4 linked regions of the Saccharomyces cerevisiae S288C genome follow. The gene in region 1 interacts genetically with each later gene. Each region holds a gene or a part of one and is shown in the gene's direction. Other genes may lie near its edges. The genes, in order: APQ12, CHM7, GET4 and TCP1.

Region 1 (3,637 bases):
CAAATACAAAGAGTTGGTTCTCTCAATATGAGGGTTGATTACCGCATTATACGGTAGCCTCTGAATGGCATTAAGCCGTTTACACGTCAATGAAAGCAACAGGTTGATTGTCTTGATCGTCAGCATGTACTCCTCCTTCTTGGTCAGCGGCGGCCTGTATTGCAGGAAATACTCGTAGTTTAGGGGCGCAATTGGTTTACTAGCGTAGTCCTGTATCAGCAGCTCAATGTTCGACCTAATCTTGTAATGCTGGTCGAACGACAGTTGCGACAGCAGCTCGTGTGAGGGTCGCTGGCGATGTGCCCAGCGCATTCCCCCACATTTCCATGAACGCATAATCTTCCACATACTACCGTGAAGGCGTCTTGATACCACGTCTTCCAGTTATGGTCTTGACTCACCAATGTTCTCAGTTTAATGTTGTTTGCTTCATACTGGCAGACATTTTCCCTTATTACCGTGAGAAGCGAGCGGTGGATTAATCGGGATGTCAAAAACAAGAAAATTGCAACCTTCTTCACCTATAACCTATATGATTTGTAGGCAGAGGAGTGGAATAAGCAACAAATCATAGTCATCAATGTCGTTTAATGCCTTCGCCAGCTCTTTGAGCAAGAAATTACAGGAAATATCCACAAGTGTTTCCGAAAAAACCCAGGAATTGCCCAGTTTGGCGCAATCCACCCAAAGAATGGTCCAGGAACGTTTGGGCCAGGTGACGGACATCTCCCAATTGCCAAGAGAGTACACAGAGCTGGAAGATAAGGTTGACACCATCAAACTGATTTACAACCACTTCTTGGGTGTAACTGCTATCTACGAAAACGGATCGTACGATTACCCTAAATACATCAACGAATCCGTCAACGAGTTTTCAAGAAGCGTGGCTTCCAAGTTGACAGAGTTGACTCATGCTACATCTGCGTCTGAGGCACAAAACATCTTAGTTGCTCCAGGCCCCATCAAAGAACCCAAGACGTTGAACTACGCCCTCAGTAAAGTGGCTTTGAACTCCAGTGAATGTTTGAACAAGATGTTCCCCACCGAGGAACAACCCTTGGCTTCGGCACTCTTGCAATTCAGTGATGTGCAGGCTAAGATTGCTCAAGCTAGAATTCAACAAGATACCTTGATTCAAACCAAATTCAATAAAAATTTGAGGGAAAGGCTCTCTTTTGAGATCGGTAAGGCCGATAAGTGCCGCAAGGATGTCCATTCCATGAGATTAAGATATGACGTGGCAAGAACTAACTTGGCAAACAACAAGAAGCCAGAAAAGGAAGCTTCCTTGAGAGTCCAAATGGAGACTTTGGAAGACCAGTTTGCTCAAGTCACTGAAGACGCTACTGTGTGCTTGCAGGAGGTTATTTCTCACGCTAACTTCAGTGAAGATTTGAAGGAATTGGCCAAGGCTCAAGCTGAGTATTTTGAAACCTCGGCTGGCCTAATGAAAGAGTTCCTATCCAACTCATTTGCGGAAGAGCCGGAAGCAAAGCCTGAGGTTGCAGAAGAAGAAAAGCCACAGACAGCTATCTCTATGAATGACGAAGACGACGCTTAATAGCCGCCCTGTTCTTGTCTTTCTCTCTCCTTCTCTATATATATATATTTACTTAATACAATATCATATTCTCTAGTGTCGTACGAATATTATCATTTATTTGCTGGCTTTTGTAGTGAGTATATTTTTTGTAGAGAAAATATAATTACTGGAAGAGAAAAAGCTACTGAAAAAAATTTCGTAACAGTCACCAAAGGGCAAAGTGAGCAACCCAAAAATGGACGCTACTCAACCGCAATACGAACTATCCGTAGTAACACAATGCCTAAAGTCTGCCATTGACGTCATCCAATGGTTGATTCCTACTATTACTAAGTTCAGCCAATCACACCCGTTAGTTTTCCAACTATTGTTTATTTTCTTCACATTTTATGTCTTTTACAAGTTGTTGATGAACTTCATTACTCTGGTCAAAAGATTCCTGTATTTGACGTTGGTAGTAACATGTATCGGTATTTATATGCGTGGTTCGCAGCAGTTTTTGACTGTGGACCTGTTGAATTTCTACAATTTCGTCATGTCAAATAGATACTACGCATTTAAAATTTATACTCTGTTTATTAATGCCCTGGAAAGAGAAATCAACACTGTTTATCATTTGGCGCAGATGAAAATGGAACAGTTGCTTAAATAGAGCGAAACGCCTCTGCTTACTCGGAACATCTTAAAGTAATTACATATCTTAATTTCTAAATATTCATATAGATAAAGAACGTTTTTTTTGCTAGATTCCTCCCCTAGTCACTATCAAATATTGAGCTATTTTTGGTGACTTGTGTTTTCCAAATTATTCATTACAATTGTGACTTGATTTCTGAAGTTTTAAGAAAAATTGCAAACTAAGTTATTACAAGCGATTTATCCGGTCGCGATTGAAGAACTGAAAACAACAGCAGCAGCATTGTACCAAGAATCCCAAGATGCTCAGGTGTGCGGTCAAGAAGTTTGCATATTTTGCCACCTTCCTCACTATCGTCGCTAATATTTACATCTATACTTATCCATCTTTCCATCCAGAACAGTGTTCATGGAACTGCTCTAACAAGAACGCACCACTACAGAAAGATTTGACTTTTGTGGACAAAGTGAAGAATTACTTCAGTGATGTTCGAGAGCAATGGCATGGTAGCCATGCCTCTGCAGGTAACGATGAGGATATTCATATTTTGGCCTTCGGTGATCCTCAGATTAAAGGCATCTGGCCAAAGACGCCATATGTGTCCCGATTAGATACATACGGTAATGACTACTATCTTGGTCACATCTATGATATGATGCAGCAGAGACTGAAGCCTCAGGTGGTGACTGTTATGGGTGATCTTTTCTCCAGTCAATGGATCGGTGATTCCGAATTCCATAATAGAACGAAAAGGTATATTAGCAGAATTTTCAAAAGAGACCCAACTTCTATTGAAAATATCAAACAACAGAACCTCGATGAGAAAGGTCAATATAAGGCGAATTGGCCTGAATGGGGAGACCGTTTTAATGAGATTTTAGACAATGTCAAGGAAAACGAGGCTGATAATCAAGAACTTTCTTTTGGGTTTGGTTATGAAAATATCCACTCATGGAATCCAGACTTGGAAGACTTTTTAATCATCAACATCACAGGTAATCATGATGTAGGTTACTCAGGCGACGCGACTTATCAACATATGACAAGGTTCCACGACCTTTTCGGTAAGGACAACTATTGGATTGAATACGAAACCAACACTACCCATCCTTGGAGAATTGTAGTGTTGAATGATCTTTTACTAGAAGGTCCCGCTTTACAACCAGAATTTGTTGAAGCTACTTGGATCTTTTTAAACCAACTAAATGAACGTAAATTCAATGGTAGTACTGTTTTGTTGACGCATGTTCCATTTTACAAGCGTGAAGGGTTATGCGTTGATGGCCCAGACACTAGGTATTATCCAGATGCCCATGCCCCAGAATCATATAAATCTGGGCTTTTGAGATCCCAAAATCATTTGAGTGAATCCGTTTCAAATCAAGTTTTGAATATGATATTTGAAAATGGGAAGCCAGGTATCATATTAACTGGTCATGACCATGAGGGCTGTGAAA
Region 2 (4,704 bases), on another chromosome or scaffold:
GGTATTGTTATTATGATGATTGATGAAAAAATGGAACCTCAAGTTGCTAAAGGAATGGTTAAGGGCCAAGCAGATAGGCTAGACTCGGCTTTTCACTTAGGATATAATATGATTTTGAACTTAATGAGAGTTGAAGGTATCTCTCCGGAGTTTATGTTGGAGCATTCTTTCTTCCAATTTCAAAACGTTATTTCAGTACCAGTTATGGAAAAGAAACTTGCTGAACTGAAAAAAGACTTTGATGGCATCGAAGTCGAAGATGAAGAAAATGTTAAAGAATACCATGAGATTGAGCAGGCTATCAAAGGTTACCGTGAAGATGTTCGTCAAGTTGTCACCCATCCGGCAAACGCCTTAAGTTTCCTACAACCAGGCAGATTAGTTGAAATCTCTGTCAATGGTAAGGATAACTATGGCTGGGGTGCTGTTGTCGATTTTGCTAAAAGAATTAACAAACGCAACCCAAGTGCTGTCTATACAGACCATGAATCCTATATTGTCAATGTGGTCGTCAATACCATGTATATAGACTCTCCAGTCAACTTGTTGAAACCTTTCAACCCTACCTTACCAGAAGGGATTCGCCCAGCGGAAGAAGGTGAAAAAAGCATATGTGCTGTTATTCCCATAACTTTGGATTCAATCAAGTCGATTGGTAATTTGAGACTATATATGCCCAAAGATATTAGAGCCAGCGGTCAAAAAGAAACTGTTGGGAAGTCTTTAAGGGAGGTTAATCGGAGGTTCCCGGATGGTATTCCCGTGCTGGATCCTGTTAAAAACATGAAGATCGAAGATGAGGACTTTTTAAAGCTAATGAAGAAGATTGACGTTTTAAACACAAAGTTATCCTCCAATCCCTTAACCAATTCCATGAGACTAGAAGAACTATATGGTAAATATAGTAGAAAACACGATTTACATGAAGATATGAAACAATTGAAACGCAAAATTTCAGAATCACAAGCCGTAATCCAACTGGACGATCTTCGTCGCCGTAAAAGAGTTTTGCGCCGTTTAGGATTTTGTACTCCTAATGACATTATTGAACTGAAAGGTAGAGTTGCATGTGAAATATCTAGTGGTGATGAACTGTTACTAACAGAATTGATCTTCAATGGTAATTTCAATGAGTTGAAACCGGAACAAGCAGCAGCATTATTATCATGCTTTGCATTCCAAGAACGCTGTAAAGAAGCGCCTAGATTGAAACCAGAGCTTGCCGAACCTTTGAAGGCTATGAGAGAAATTGCAGCAAAGATCGCTAAGATAATGAAGGATTCTAAAATTGAAGTTGTAGAAAAGGACTACGTTGAAAGCTTCAGACATGAACTAATGGAAGTTGTTTACGAATGGTGTAGAGGAGCTACTTTTACGCAAATCTGTAAAATGACCGACGTTTACGAAGGTTCGTTGATCAGAATGTTCAAGAGATTAGAGGAATTGGTGAAGGAGCTGGTAGACGTCGCCAATACCATTGGTAACTCTTCACTTAAGGAGAAGATGGAAGCTGTCTTGAAATTAATTCATAGAGATATCGTATCTGCTGGTTCTTTGTATTTATAGTTAATCACACACAATTATGTATTTTTATTGGTATATATAATAAACAAATAGATTTCATCAACATTTATTATATAATAACATTTTTGTTTGGGCAAGCACACTATTGATACACCCATACAACTCAATGAAGTGCAGCGTTAGTAGAGACAATAAGAGGAGTTTTAAATTCTTAAACTATATCTGGCAAAACACCACCAAAGCCAGCCAAATAGTATCTCACTGTATCTGAATGAAAGTAGATTTACCAGAATCCAGACTACCATCTTTATATAGAGATTTTAGGCCATTGAAAGATTTAAATCCCGATGGGTACGAAGCAAACATCAGTACATGGAGGGATTTCTTCTTGCAACAATACATCAGCAACTCCAACAGAATCATATTTACTATAGGGACAAGGACTTTGCAAGAATTAACTCATGAAGTTTATGGCGTACCGAAAAGCATTGATATAGCAATTGACGTTCTTGTTAATGAAGGAAATTTGATACCTATGGAATTATTCAATCTTGGTGGAATGTACACTGACAACAGTAGAAAAGGATTTTGGAAGTGGGTTAGAAGTTGGAAGGAGTCTACAAACATGTATAAAAGCCGGAAGGATGAAACAAATTTCTACTTGAGAGAAGACAAATTTATTATCAAAGCAAATTTGGAAAAAGAGTATCAAAGGTTTCATGAATTACTCAAAAGAAGTGTTTTTATGGAGGCTTCATCTATTACAGATTTAGTATTCACAAGGAATGAATTTGTGACCACAGAAAGTTTGCAGTCGTTCTTTTCAACCTATGATGAAGAAACGAAAAACGTGTTCCTGCACTTTATAGAGAATTATAAGCACATAATAGTTTCAAAAGACAATGTTATCAAAGTCATTGCCGCTGAAGTAGAAGACATTACTAGCAGGTTCTCCAAAGGCATCACAGAAAATGACCTTCGAATTGCTAGTGTTAAAGTGGGTATTATAAACATCAACAAACAAATTACAAGGCTAAGAAAAGAAATTAATGAATCTAACATTAAACTGAGAGGACCAGAGTTTAATGAGCTGCCGAAGAGAATAAGGATTGAATATAAACAGGCGAGATTACTATCTGAAAAACATCTTTCTAGGTTACTAAAGTTTCAAAATAACCTCGCTCAAGTAAGAACTCAAATAGACACCAGTGCTACTAATGCGGTTTTAATTCAAACTTTAAGTGAATCCAACGAAGTAATTAAGTCAATTAATGGATATATTGGTTCTACCGAAAAAGTAGAAGACTTACTAGATGAGATTAAAGAGGGTCATGACCGTACCGAAGAGGTCAATGATTTATTAGCTCATTATAATAAAGGTCAAGACGAAGAAGCAGAAGAAGAAATTGAAAGAGAATTAGAACAATTAGAACTTGATGAAAAGAATAATAATAAGGAAGAAAATAAGAACCAGGATTTGCACGAGCCAAAAGAAAGCAGTAGCGAGGATCTATTAAAGAGATTGAATAATCTGAAGATAAATACAAATGAAGGACCTGTGCAAGATAATGAAAACCACGATAATGAGATAAGAAAAATCATGATGGAAGAACAACCACGTTGACGAACTGAGTGACTAATAAATAAATATATATGTATAAATAAAAAATAAATATGAATATTTTAATAGACGGAAGAAAGAAAATATGTGTGAATAACCAAATAGGAAATAAACAAAAGCACATTTAATTGTTGCCGTTATTATTAGAGTAACCTAATGTACGAACTTTGGTATTAGATGCAGAATTATTGGAAGACAAGTTTAGTTCAGACACGTTTTGTCGCAATTGAGAAGTACCATTAGAAGGATACATCCTTGGGGTAGTATATGCTGAAGGAGTCATTGAATCACCACCACCTCCTCCTCCCCCGTCCGACACCATGTCTAAGCTAGATAATTTTTGTAAAGAGTAGTTGGCGCTGTTTGACACATTTGTGCCCAACCTCTGGTAACCAAGACGGGAGGAGGAAGCATCTACTTCCGGTTCTTTCGCCCAAAAAGATGTCAAACCTGAGTAAACCTTGTGTAGAAGAGAAGATTGTTCCATGTAGTCGAATGTTTTGTTATTGGCTTCCAGCGGTTCTAAGATGAGAGTCGATCTGGGCAACAGATCCAACTCTTGCAAACTTTTGAGTTCGTCATTTCGCGTAAGAGTCACTCTTGGTATATTTCTGTGGAAAAGGTAAGGTGTTCCATCATCGTAGCAATTATAGTCTAACCACATCCTTACTTTGTGTAATTTTGTTTGAGGAGGGAAAGTATTAGAGATTGTGTAACCATTGGGCAGTTTCAATTGTAGAGTACAGTAGTTCTGGGCGAGAAACCCCTTTTGACTCTTGTAACTAACATTATCAGTAACTGTCAACTGCTTCCACTTCTGTGGCTTTCTTTGCGGGTCATTAGTATTTTGAAAAACATACTTCCTCTCCAACTTGTCGTTCTGAATCATTCTTTTGACTCTTTGATATTCTTCATTGCTCTTGGAAAATAACTTCCTCTTTGTTACTTGACCCTTAAAGACTGATTGTAACCCATTGATAAAGGTTTCCCAAGGATCCTGCTCACGAGAAAGGCTATTACCTTGGATAGAACATTCGAGTAGACCGTTCTGTAATATGTTAATGCTTGGCGCCGATGAGGAGGGGAAAATGCTCTTGAAAAGCAAGCACTCTTTAGTACCATTTACTAACCTTACCCACAGTATGTTTTCGCGCTCCTCGTCACTAAGATTTCCTGGTTTGAACCACTGATGAAGCCAAGAATTGTCCCCGGCTGCTGAACTAATGTAAACGACGATAACCTGCTCACTAGTATGAGAGTAATCATGAACAACTCGATCATGAAAGAGGCTGTCTATACCTGACATCTCGTACATTTCTGTTATTCAATACCTGTAATTCACTTCCTTTGAGGGTCAAAAATGTCCCCTGTAAGCAAGTGTATAAGTATATAATTATATATATGTGCATATATATGTCCCTATACAACTACTAACGAATCTTAAAAGTTGACTATTCATGTGGAAAAAGTCCCTCTTCTAGGGTTGACGCGCTAGAGGTAAATCCATTAAGGTTCCTCCTGGCTTCGTTAACTCCGAAAAGAATAGCATGTGCAAGATG
Region 3 (4,009 bases), on another chromosome or scaffold:
CAGGTAGTCATGTACTGTGGTATCCAAGGTTCTCCACGCCAATATTCTAATATTTTTGTAAATCTTCGCGTTTTCGCTCTCTGAAAGTCCAATTTTAAAATCATATTTATCTTTTTCCACTTGATACGCAGATATATTGTCTTTGATAGTAGATTCAAAATCGTTCATTATATCATCCCAAACCTTTTTGGATGGATGTGATAGTAAATGAATCACATGATCCTTTAATTCGGGAACCAGATTTTTTTTAATACGACCGATTTTTGCTTTCAATTCAGCATCACGTAGTTGCTTGATTCTTTCTTCAATATCGTCGGAAAATTTGCAGGTAATCTCTTCGTTTGATATTAGTAGCCCTAACTTTTTGAAGGTCTCCATTGATTCGTTAAATTCTTTCTCAATCTTACTCTTACCTGCCGCCACACTTTCTACAAAAGAGGTAGTAGCTTTGTCTCTAGAAGACACCTCCAATTTTAAATCGTCCCATAACTTTTCCATTAATGATTCCAAGAACTCATTAATTGTACCTGAAATATGTGAATTCAGCTTTGTATTTAAAGCTTCTCGTTTCTCCATATAAACGTTTCTTGCATAGCGCGATGCTTGTTCATCATATTTTGTCAGACATTCTTCTTTTAGCTTCACTAGCTGAGATGTTAAAGATCCCAAGTTACCCTTTAAAGGAGCAATCGATTCATCATATTTTGAAATGAACTCTTCTAGAGCTTCATTAGATATTTCTTCAGTTTTAAATCTAGCAACCAGAATTTGCTGAGTTGGAAGATCTAAATCCTTGTTACGTTCAATTTGATCCCAACAATTTTCTGCGTACATAGTCCAACCATCTAATGGCAACCTATGGTGATATTGAGGTTTGAAATAATAGTTTTCCGTACCTTTCATCACAAACGAATCACCTAATTTCTTGACATCCTGGGTAAATTTGTCTTCTTGCAACAACTTATGAGCTAGCCCGACAAACTTTAAATCGAAATAATCATACAGGCTAGAACCCTCACAACCAGCAGGTTTACTTAACTCTGTCCATATTTTTTCCAATTCTCTCGTAACGGAATCACTCAAACTCGAGAGTGGAGTCACACCTACATGATCTCTAATTACAAAAAGTAACAGCACCTTGTGGTCATTATCATTCTTGCCAAATAGGGAAAGGTTGACCTCAAAAACTGTTTTTAATAAAGCCATATTATTACCTTGATATAGCCCAATTTGCTGCTCCCACATATTAACTATAAGAACTTCAGATACTGCAATGGCAAATAAAGCGGCTTTTCTCTCAAAATCTTGGTCTTCACCTCTTTCTGAACCATCGGAGCCCTCAACATCTAGCACAAAAATATCTGGACGATCATTATCGATTTCAATAGTTGTATTAACCTGTTTAGTGTGAGCCAACCAAATGCCTTTAGTAGTCTGCTGCCTTTTCACCTGAGCATCCATGGTATCAAAGTTGGTGTTAAACAAGACGTTAAGTAAAGTCGATTTACCACTCGATTGAGAACCGAAAACTGAGATGACATGGTAATCTAGACCAACATCACGATTTCCAATACATTGTTGAAAATATTGTAATGCACTTTGATGAAATTCCTTCTCTTCATCTATCAACTGAATAGCAGGTCTATCAGCCATGACTAAAGTATGTCAACCGTCGAGTGAGTTAGTAGCCCGTTTGTTGAAATAAGTCAATAATTATTTACCATCAAAATACACCTTTCAGTATTTTGTTCGTTTTGTCGCTCTTCGTTAAGGTAACAAACAATGGGAAAAAAAGTGAAAGGAAAGTCAAAAAAATGAAATAATAACATGTGCGGTAAAACAACCAAGTAAACATCATAAAGGGACATAAATAATAATAACAAGCTATGGTTCCTGCTGAATCTAATGCTGTACAAGCGAAACTCGCTAAAACCTTACAAAGATTCGAAAATAAGATCAAAGCTGGAGATTATTACGAAGCGCATCAAACGTTGAGAACTATTGCTAATAGATATGTTAGAAGTAAATCATACGAGCATGCCATAGAACTAATTAGTCAAGGGGCCCTTTCATTTTTAAAGGCGAAGCAGGGCGGTTCAGGCACGGATTTGATCTTCTATCTTTTAGAAGTTTATGATTTAGCGGAAGTTAAAGTTGATGACATCTCAGTTGCTAGATTGGTTAGATTAATAGCCGAATTGGATCCTAGCGAGCCCAATTTAAAGGACGTTATTACTGGTATGAACAATTGGTCTATCAAATTTAGTGAATACAAATTTGGAGATCCTTACTTGCACAACACCATTGGTAGCAAACTATTAGAGGGAGATTTCGTTTATGAAGCTGAGAGATATTTTATGTTAGGTACACATGATTCAATGATCAAATATGTCGATTTACTATGGGACTGGTTATGCCAAGTTGATGATATCGAAGATAGCACGGTGGCTGAGTTCTTCAGCAGATTGGTTTTCAACTATTTATTCATCTCTAACATATCATTTGCACATGAATCAAAAGACATTTTTTTGGAAAGATTTATTGAGAAATTTCACCCCAAGTACGAGAAAATTGATAAAAATGGTTATGAAATAGTTTTTTTTGAAGATTATTCCGACCTAAATTTTTTGCAATTGTTGCTAATTACCTGTCAGACTAAGGATAAGAGCTATTTCTTGAATTTAAAGAACCATTATTTAGATTTTTCTCAAGCTTACAAAAGTGAGTTAGAATTTTTGGGCCAGGAATATTTCAATATTGTTGCTCCTAAACAAACGAATTTCCTACAAGACATGATGTCGGGATTCCTGGGCGGATCGAAGTGAAAAGAGCATATTTGCGAAGGAATAGATAAATATGTTTGCGGTGGCTTGACGACCATGACGTATATACATATATATGTATGTGCTAGCTATTTGTCGTCTTTAATGATAGCAGACCTATTAAGGGCCTCCAACAATTCAGGCCTCTTGGCGTCTATCAAGTTTTGTTTAGCTTCTGTATAAGAGTATAGCTTTCTATGTCTTTTGTGACATTCCGGAAATTTATCAAGGAGATTTTCAATCTCTAATTCATAAAAATGAAATTCGGTTCTTGGCGGGTGCTTTGCTACTTCTGAATCTTTTCGAGAGTTCTCGAATTGCTTAATGTCTTTGTTCCAGTCCTTAGGGGGTCTCATGTCTTCAACTGTACCCAAATTGGCGACAATTTTACCTATGCAACCAGCTTCCTCCCAAGTTTCTCGTTGGGCAGTCGTCTCGTAATTAGGCTCGTCTTTCTCAACGCCACCTTTGGGGACAATCCATCTTTTCTTGTGTGCAGAAGAAGTAATCATGAGAACTTGCTTCTTGTCGGGTGTTAAACATATGCAGCCAGCAACTAATCTTGCACCTGTAACGGGTGAGTAAACCTGGTTTTCTCTTCCTTCACGTGCTGTCTCAGAACGTACTGGACCATGATTATCCGCGGTTTTGCCCATTTTGTGTTTCCCCACGCTCTTATACTCCTACGTACTCACTGTTCCTGACCTTTCAGGCGTTATTTCAGTGTGATTTCATGTCTTAAAGTTGAGGCTTCCCTTTACACTATTTACCTCCGCGAGACGTTTGAGAATTAAGCCGCACGTGCTCGCCGCAGATGTTCTTTCAACGACAAGAGAACACCATGCTCCTACTATTTACGCATTATTTACACAGTATACCTTTCTGATGATGAAGTTTGAAGGTTTAAATTCTGGGCAGTAGCTGTTTTTACGGTTGTCTCAATATTTCTCATTCTGCTTTATAATCACGGGAGTATGACAGCATTACCAATCTCTATCAAGATGAAGAAAGATGAGCATGATCGTTTTAAGCTCACATGGAAGCTGTAGTTATTACCAGTATATCCTCTTTATATATAGCGAATGTAGATTTCTGCCAGTATCATACTGGCAGAAATCATAGTGAACGGAGTTAAATCCGCGGAAATTAGAAAAACGTTAAAAGGTTCCATGCCATATTACTAATGG
Region 4 (4,788 bases), on another chromosome or scaffold:
AATGCATTTGCAAGATAAAGATCACATCTCGACAATGTGTTTGAGCAAAGCGAGTACCTATCCAAAAACAAGAACTATTGAGCCTGCCGCATTTGTCTTAGACAAATCCACCAGTAGGTGTATTTATTACCAAGATTTACCATTACCAAGCTCTAGAGAGAAGACTTCCATTCAGATTGACCCAGAATTGTTGGATAATGTCGATGAATTTGTCATAAGGAATGACCTCATCGATTGTAGAATTGACATTTGTACATCTCATGTACCTTTGATATTTCAAGAAAATTTTGACTACCAATCATTAAGGACAGACTTTGTTAAAGGTGTCATTTCAAGCGATATATTGGGAAAGCATATATATGCCTATTTGACGGACGAATATGCTGTAAGAGTTGAAAGTTGGCAAACTTACGACACCATTTCTCAAGACTTTTTAGGTAGATGGTGTTATCCCTTGGTCTTAGACTCTAACATACAGGACGATCAAACGTATTCTTATGAATCAAGACATATATACAAGGAAAAAGACGTTGTTTTGGCCCAATCCTGTAAAATTGGTAAGTGCACTGCAATTGGATCAGGAACAAAAATCGGAGAGGGTACGAAAATTGAGAATTCCGTGATTGGAAGGAACTGCCAAATCGGTGAAAATATTAGAATCAAGAACAGTTTCATTTGGGATGACTGTATCATCGGAAATAACAGTATAATTGACCATTCATTAATTGCCTCTAATGCCACGTTAGGGAGTAATGTACGCCTAAATGATGGCTGTATAATTGGTTTCAACGTTAAAATTGATGATAATATGGATTTAGATAGAAACACAAAAATATCTGCCAGTCCATTAAAAAATGCCGGCTCAAGAATGTATGATAATGAAAGCAATGAGCAGTTTGACCAAGACCTTGATGATCAGACACTAGCCGTTTCTATTGTTGGAGATAAGGGTGTTGGTTATATTTACGAAAGCGAGGTGTCTGACGATGAAGATAGTTCTACAGAAGCCTGCAAAGAAATAAACACTTTGAGTAACCAATTAGATGAGTTATACTTAAGTGACGATTCAATTTCTTCCGCCACTAAAAAGACAAAGAAAAGAAGAACGATGTCTGTCAATAGTATATACACGGATAGAGAAGAAATTGATTCTGAATTTGAGGACGAAGATTTTGAGAAAGAAGGTATTGCCACCGTGGAGCGTGCTATGGAAAACAATCATGATCTTGACACAGCATTATTAGAATTGAACACCTTGAGAATGAGTATGAACGTGACATATCATGAGGTGAGAATAGCAACAATAACTGCATTATTGAGAAGAGTTTACCACTTTATTGCAACTCAAACATTAGGTCCCAAGGACGCTGTGGTGAAGGTTTTTAATCAGTGGGGACTGTTGTTCAAGAGACAAGCCTTTGATGAAGAAGAGTATATTGATTTGATGAACATCATAATGGAAAAAATTGTAGAACAGAGTTTTGACAAACCGGATTTGATTCTATTTAGTGCATTGGTTTCTCTATACGATAATGACATAATTGAGGAGGATGTCATTTATAAATGGTGGGATAATGTTTCTACTGACCCTCGCTATGATGAAGTCAAGAAATTAACTGTAAAGTGGGTTGAGTGGTTACAGAATGCTGACGAAGAATCTTCCTCAGAAGAGGAATAAAAGTCCACGCAGTACCCTGCATAATCATGTATTACCATAAAAAGGCTTTAATATGAGAAAAAGGTGAGCGCTATATAGATTTAGTAATTTACATGTTACAGAAGCAAAAAGCAAATATATATATATTTTTTATCATATTAGTTTTTATCCTCAGTAGTACTACTGAAATAATAATCTCAGATTTTTTTTTTTCACTTGCCGAGGGACCTTGTCCTAAGTGGCAAAGAACTGAAAAAAAAAAAAATTGAAATGCGGTGGTATCACATGAAGAGTAAATAACTTAAGCAAAAGAGAGGCCACTGAGAGAGTACAAGAAAGGGACAATAACAATAGACAGAAGACTTTTATATTTGTAATAACTTAGCGATGTCCCAATTATTCAATAACTCGCGCTCAGATACCCTTTTCCTAGGAGGTGAAAAAATAAGTGGTGATGATATTCGTAATCAGAATGTTTTGGCTACTATGGCTGTGGCTAACGTCGTCAAGTCATCTTTAGGCCCCGTTGGACTGGACAAAATGCTTGTTGATGACATTGGTGATTTTACCGTCACCAACGATGGTGCCACTATTTTGTCTTTGTTAGATGTTCAACATCCAGCTGGAAAAATTTTAGTAGAATTGGCTCAACAACAGGACAGAGAAATTGGTGACGGTACTACTAGTGTTGTTATTATTGCTTCTGAGTTGTTGAAAAGAGCTAATGAATTAGTCAAAAATAAGATTCATCCAACTACCATCATAACTGGTTTCAGGGTTGCATTAAGAGAGGCTATTCGTTTTATAAATGAAGTTCTTTCCACAAGTGTTGACACTTTAGGGAAAGAGACGTTAATTAATATAGCCAAGACTAGTATGTCCTCTAAGATCATTGGTGCTGACTCTGATTTTTTCAGCAATATGGTTGTAGATGCTCTTTTGGCTGTTAAGACGCAAAATTCCAAAGGAGAAATCAAGTATCCCGTAAAGGCTGTCAATGTGTTGAAAGCTCATGGTAAATCTGCCACTGAATCACTGTTGGTGCCAGGTTATGCTTTGAATTGTACAGTTGCTTCTCAAGCAATGCCTAAACGTATCGCCGGTGGCAATGTGAAAATCGCATGTTTGGATTTGAACTTGCAGAAAGCTCGTATGGCAATGGGTGTTCAAATCAACATTGATGATCCGGAACAATTGGAGCAAATCCGTAAACGTGAAGCTGGTATTGTTTTGGAAAGAGTGAAGAAGATCATTGATGCTGGTGCTCAAGTTGTGTTAACCACCAAAGGTATTGATGATTTATGCTTAAAGGAGTTCGTTGAAGCTAAGATAATGGGTGTAAGACGCTGTAAGAAGGAAGATTTGAGAAGAATTGCACGCGCTACAGGCGCCACTTTGGTTAGTTCTATGTCTAACTTAGAAGGTGAGGAAACTTTCGAAAGCAGTTATTTAGGTCTTTGTGATGAAGTAGTTCAAGCCAAATTTTCTGATGATGAGTGTATCTTAATTAAGGGTACTTCTAAACATTCATCTTCTTCGATCATTTTAAGAGGTGCCAACGATTATTCTTTAGATGAGATGGAACGTTCTTTGCACGATTCTCTTTCTGTTGTCAAAAGAACGCTTGAAAGTGGAAATGTTGTCCCCGGTGGAGGTTGCGTTGAAGCCGCATTGAATATCTATTTGGACAATTTTGCCACCACAGTTGGTTCTCGTGAACAGTTAGCTATTGCTGAGTTTGCAGCTGCATTATTAATCATTCCAAAAACTTTAGCTGTTAACGCTGCCAAGGATTCTAGTGAATTAGTTGCAAAATTAAGGTCCTACCATGCCGCTAGTCAAATGGCCAAGCCAGAGGACGTTAAGAGGAGAAGCTACAGAAATTACGGCCTAGATTTGATTAGAGGTAAAATTGTGGACGAGATTCACGCTGGTGTTCTTGAGCCAACCATAAGCAAAGTCAAATCCTTGAAATCAGCATTGGAGGCTTGTGTAGCAATTCTAAGAATTGATACAATGATTACAGTGGATCCAGAACCACCCAAAGAAGATCCGCACGATCATTGATTCTTTGCGTAATCCGAACGAGATTCTGTATCTGCATGTAAACTAATAAACCTATATAAAATTTAATTATATTTTTTTCAGCTAGTTCTATTTTTGAATTTGATCGCTAACTCTGGGCAGTTGATAAGCGCTTCCCAGCTTTTCACGTGCGAGGTGGACTAATACGTAATAACGCGTACCTATTAGGACTTCGTTGAGTTGTTTTTCTTGTCCAAATGCAGAAGCGGGTCCCTACAAACTATTGTGTTTGTTCGTAAACGAGCAGGAACCCTGTTAAAGGAAAAAAGCTTAACGCTAGCGTTACATTTTAGTAAGGCGGCAATAAAAAAGAATGCGGAGTGTATTCCATGAATTCAATTGCGCTTACTGCTAAGCCTGTTTCTAAACATGATCCCCAGGGTGAATATCTCCCATAGTGGCTGTGTTATTCTGTCTAAATGTGGCAGCTAAATAAGGTTTTTTCCAAGCTATTTTTTTCTCTAAACGAGCGCACCTTAGCGGGATCGCGTCAAATTTTCGCCCAACGAATATTATTCTATTGTCTTCAGTGAATGTGCTTGTCGAAATCTATATATGCGCCGCCCTGGCAGGATCAGCAAATACAAGTTACTTGGAAAGTCGCGGCATAGAAAGTAGACACTTCTTTTGTCAAAGATTGATATTGCTTTCAGGGTGCGATAGTGCTGACTGTTCCTCTAAACAGCGATTTTTTACATACATTAACTTTTTGAAGTTGTAGGAACTATCTTTTCTCATTTATCCAACACTAAAACAAAATTGAGCTTTCCAGAAATAGTGAATCAAAAAAAGTTAAGTACAAATATTTACAGTTCAGCAGTATGAGCGAAGTCGGTATACAGAATCACAAGAAAGCGGTGACAAAACCCAGAAGAAGAGAAAAAGTCATCGAGCTAATTGAAGTGGACGGCAAAAAGGTGAGTACGACTTCAACCGGTAAACGTAAATTCCATAACAAATCAAAGAATGGGTGCGATAACTGTAAAAGAAGAAGAGTTAAGTGTGATGAAGGGAAGCCAGCCTGTAGGAAGTGCACAAATATGAAG

Evidence for each region.
Region 2: mutations in APQ12 (region 1) and CHM7 impair growth when combined (synthetic growth defect), as found in Saccharomyces cerevisiae (6 studies listed by BioGRID, with this or other methods).
Region 3: mutations in APQ12 (region 1) and GET4 together harm fitness more than expected from each alone (negative genetic interaction), as found in Saccharomyces cerevisiae (3 studies listed by BioGRID).
Region 4: mutations in APQ12 (region 1) and TCP1 together harm fitness more than expected from each alone (negative genetic interaction), as found in Saccharomyces cerevisiae (3 studies listed by BioGRID, with this or other methods).

What each region holds. Positions count from the first base shown.
Region 1 is NC_001141.2:275,945-279,581, forward strand, and holds APQ12 (Apq12p), read left to right. Parts: upstream 1-1,778; coding exon 1,779-2,195; downstream 2,196-3,637. Other genes in the region: protein kinase PKP1, read right to left, coding at 1-348; GVP36 (Gvp36p), read left to right, coding at 581-1,561; TED1 (Ted1p), read left to right, coding at 2,482-3,637. UniProt on the Saccharomyces cerevisiae protein: Involved in the regulation of lipid homeostasis in the endoplasmic reticulum, thereby impacting nuclear pore complex biogenesis and localization, and nucleocytoplasmic mRNA transport.
Region 2 is NC_001142.9:344,178-348,881, forward strand, and holds CHM7 (phosphatidic acid-binding protein CHM7), read left to right. Parts: upstream 1-1,795; coding exon 1,796-3,148; downstream 3,149-4,704. Other genes in the region: ATP-dependent RNA helicase MTR4, read left to right, coding at 1-1,566; UBX6 (Ubx6p), read right to left, coding at 3,270-4,460.
Region 3 is NC_001147.6:642,210-646,218, reverse strand, and holds GET4 (protein GET4), read left to right. Parts: upstream 1-1,886; coding exon 1,887-2,825; downstream 2,826-4,009. Other genes in the region: dynamin-like GTPase SEY1, read right to left, coding at 1-1,653; polyphosphatase DDP1, read right to left, coding at 2,912-3,478. UniProt on the Saccharomyces cerevisiae protein: May play a role in insertion of tail-anchored proteins into the endoplasmic reticulum membrane.
Region 4 is NC_001136.10:885,188-889,975, forward strand, and holds TCP1 (chaperonin-containing T-complex alpha subunit TCP1), read left to right. Parts: upstream 1-2,044; coding exon 2,045-3,724; downstream 3,725-4,788. Other genes in the region: GCD6 (translation initiation factor eIF2B catalytic subunit epsilon), read left to right, coding at 1-1,678; UPC2 (Upc2p), read left to right, coding at 4,564-4,788. UniProt on the Saccharomyces cerevisiae protein: Molecular chaperone; assists the folding of proteins upon ATP hydrolysis. Known to play a role, in vitro, in the folding of actin and tubulin. In yeast may play a role in mitotic spindle formation.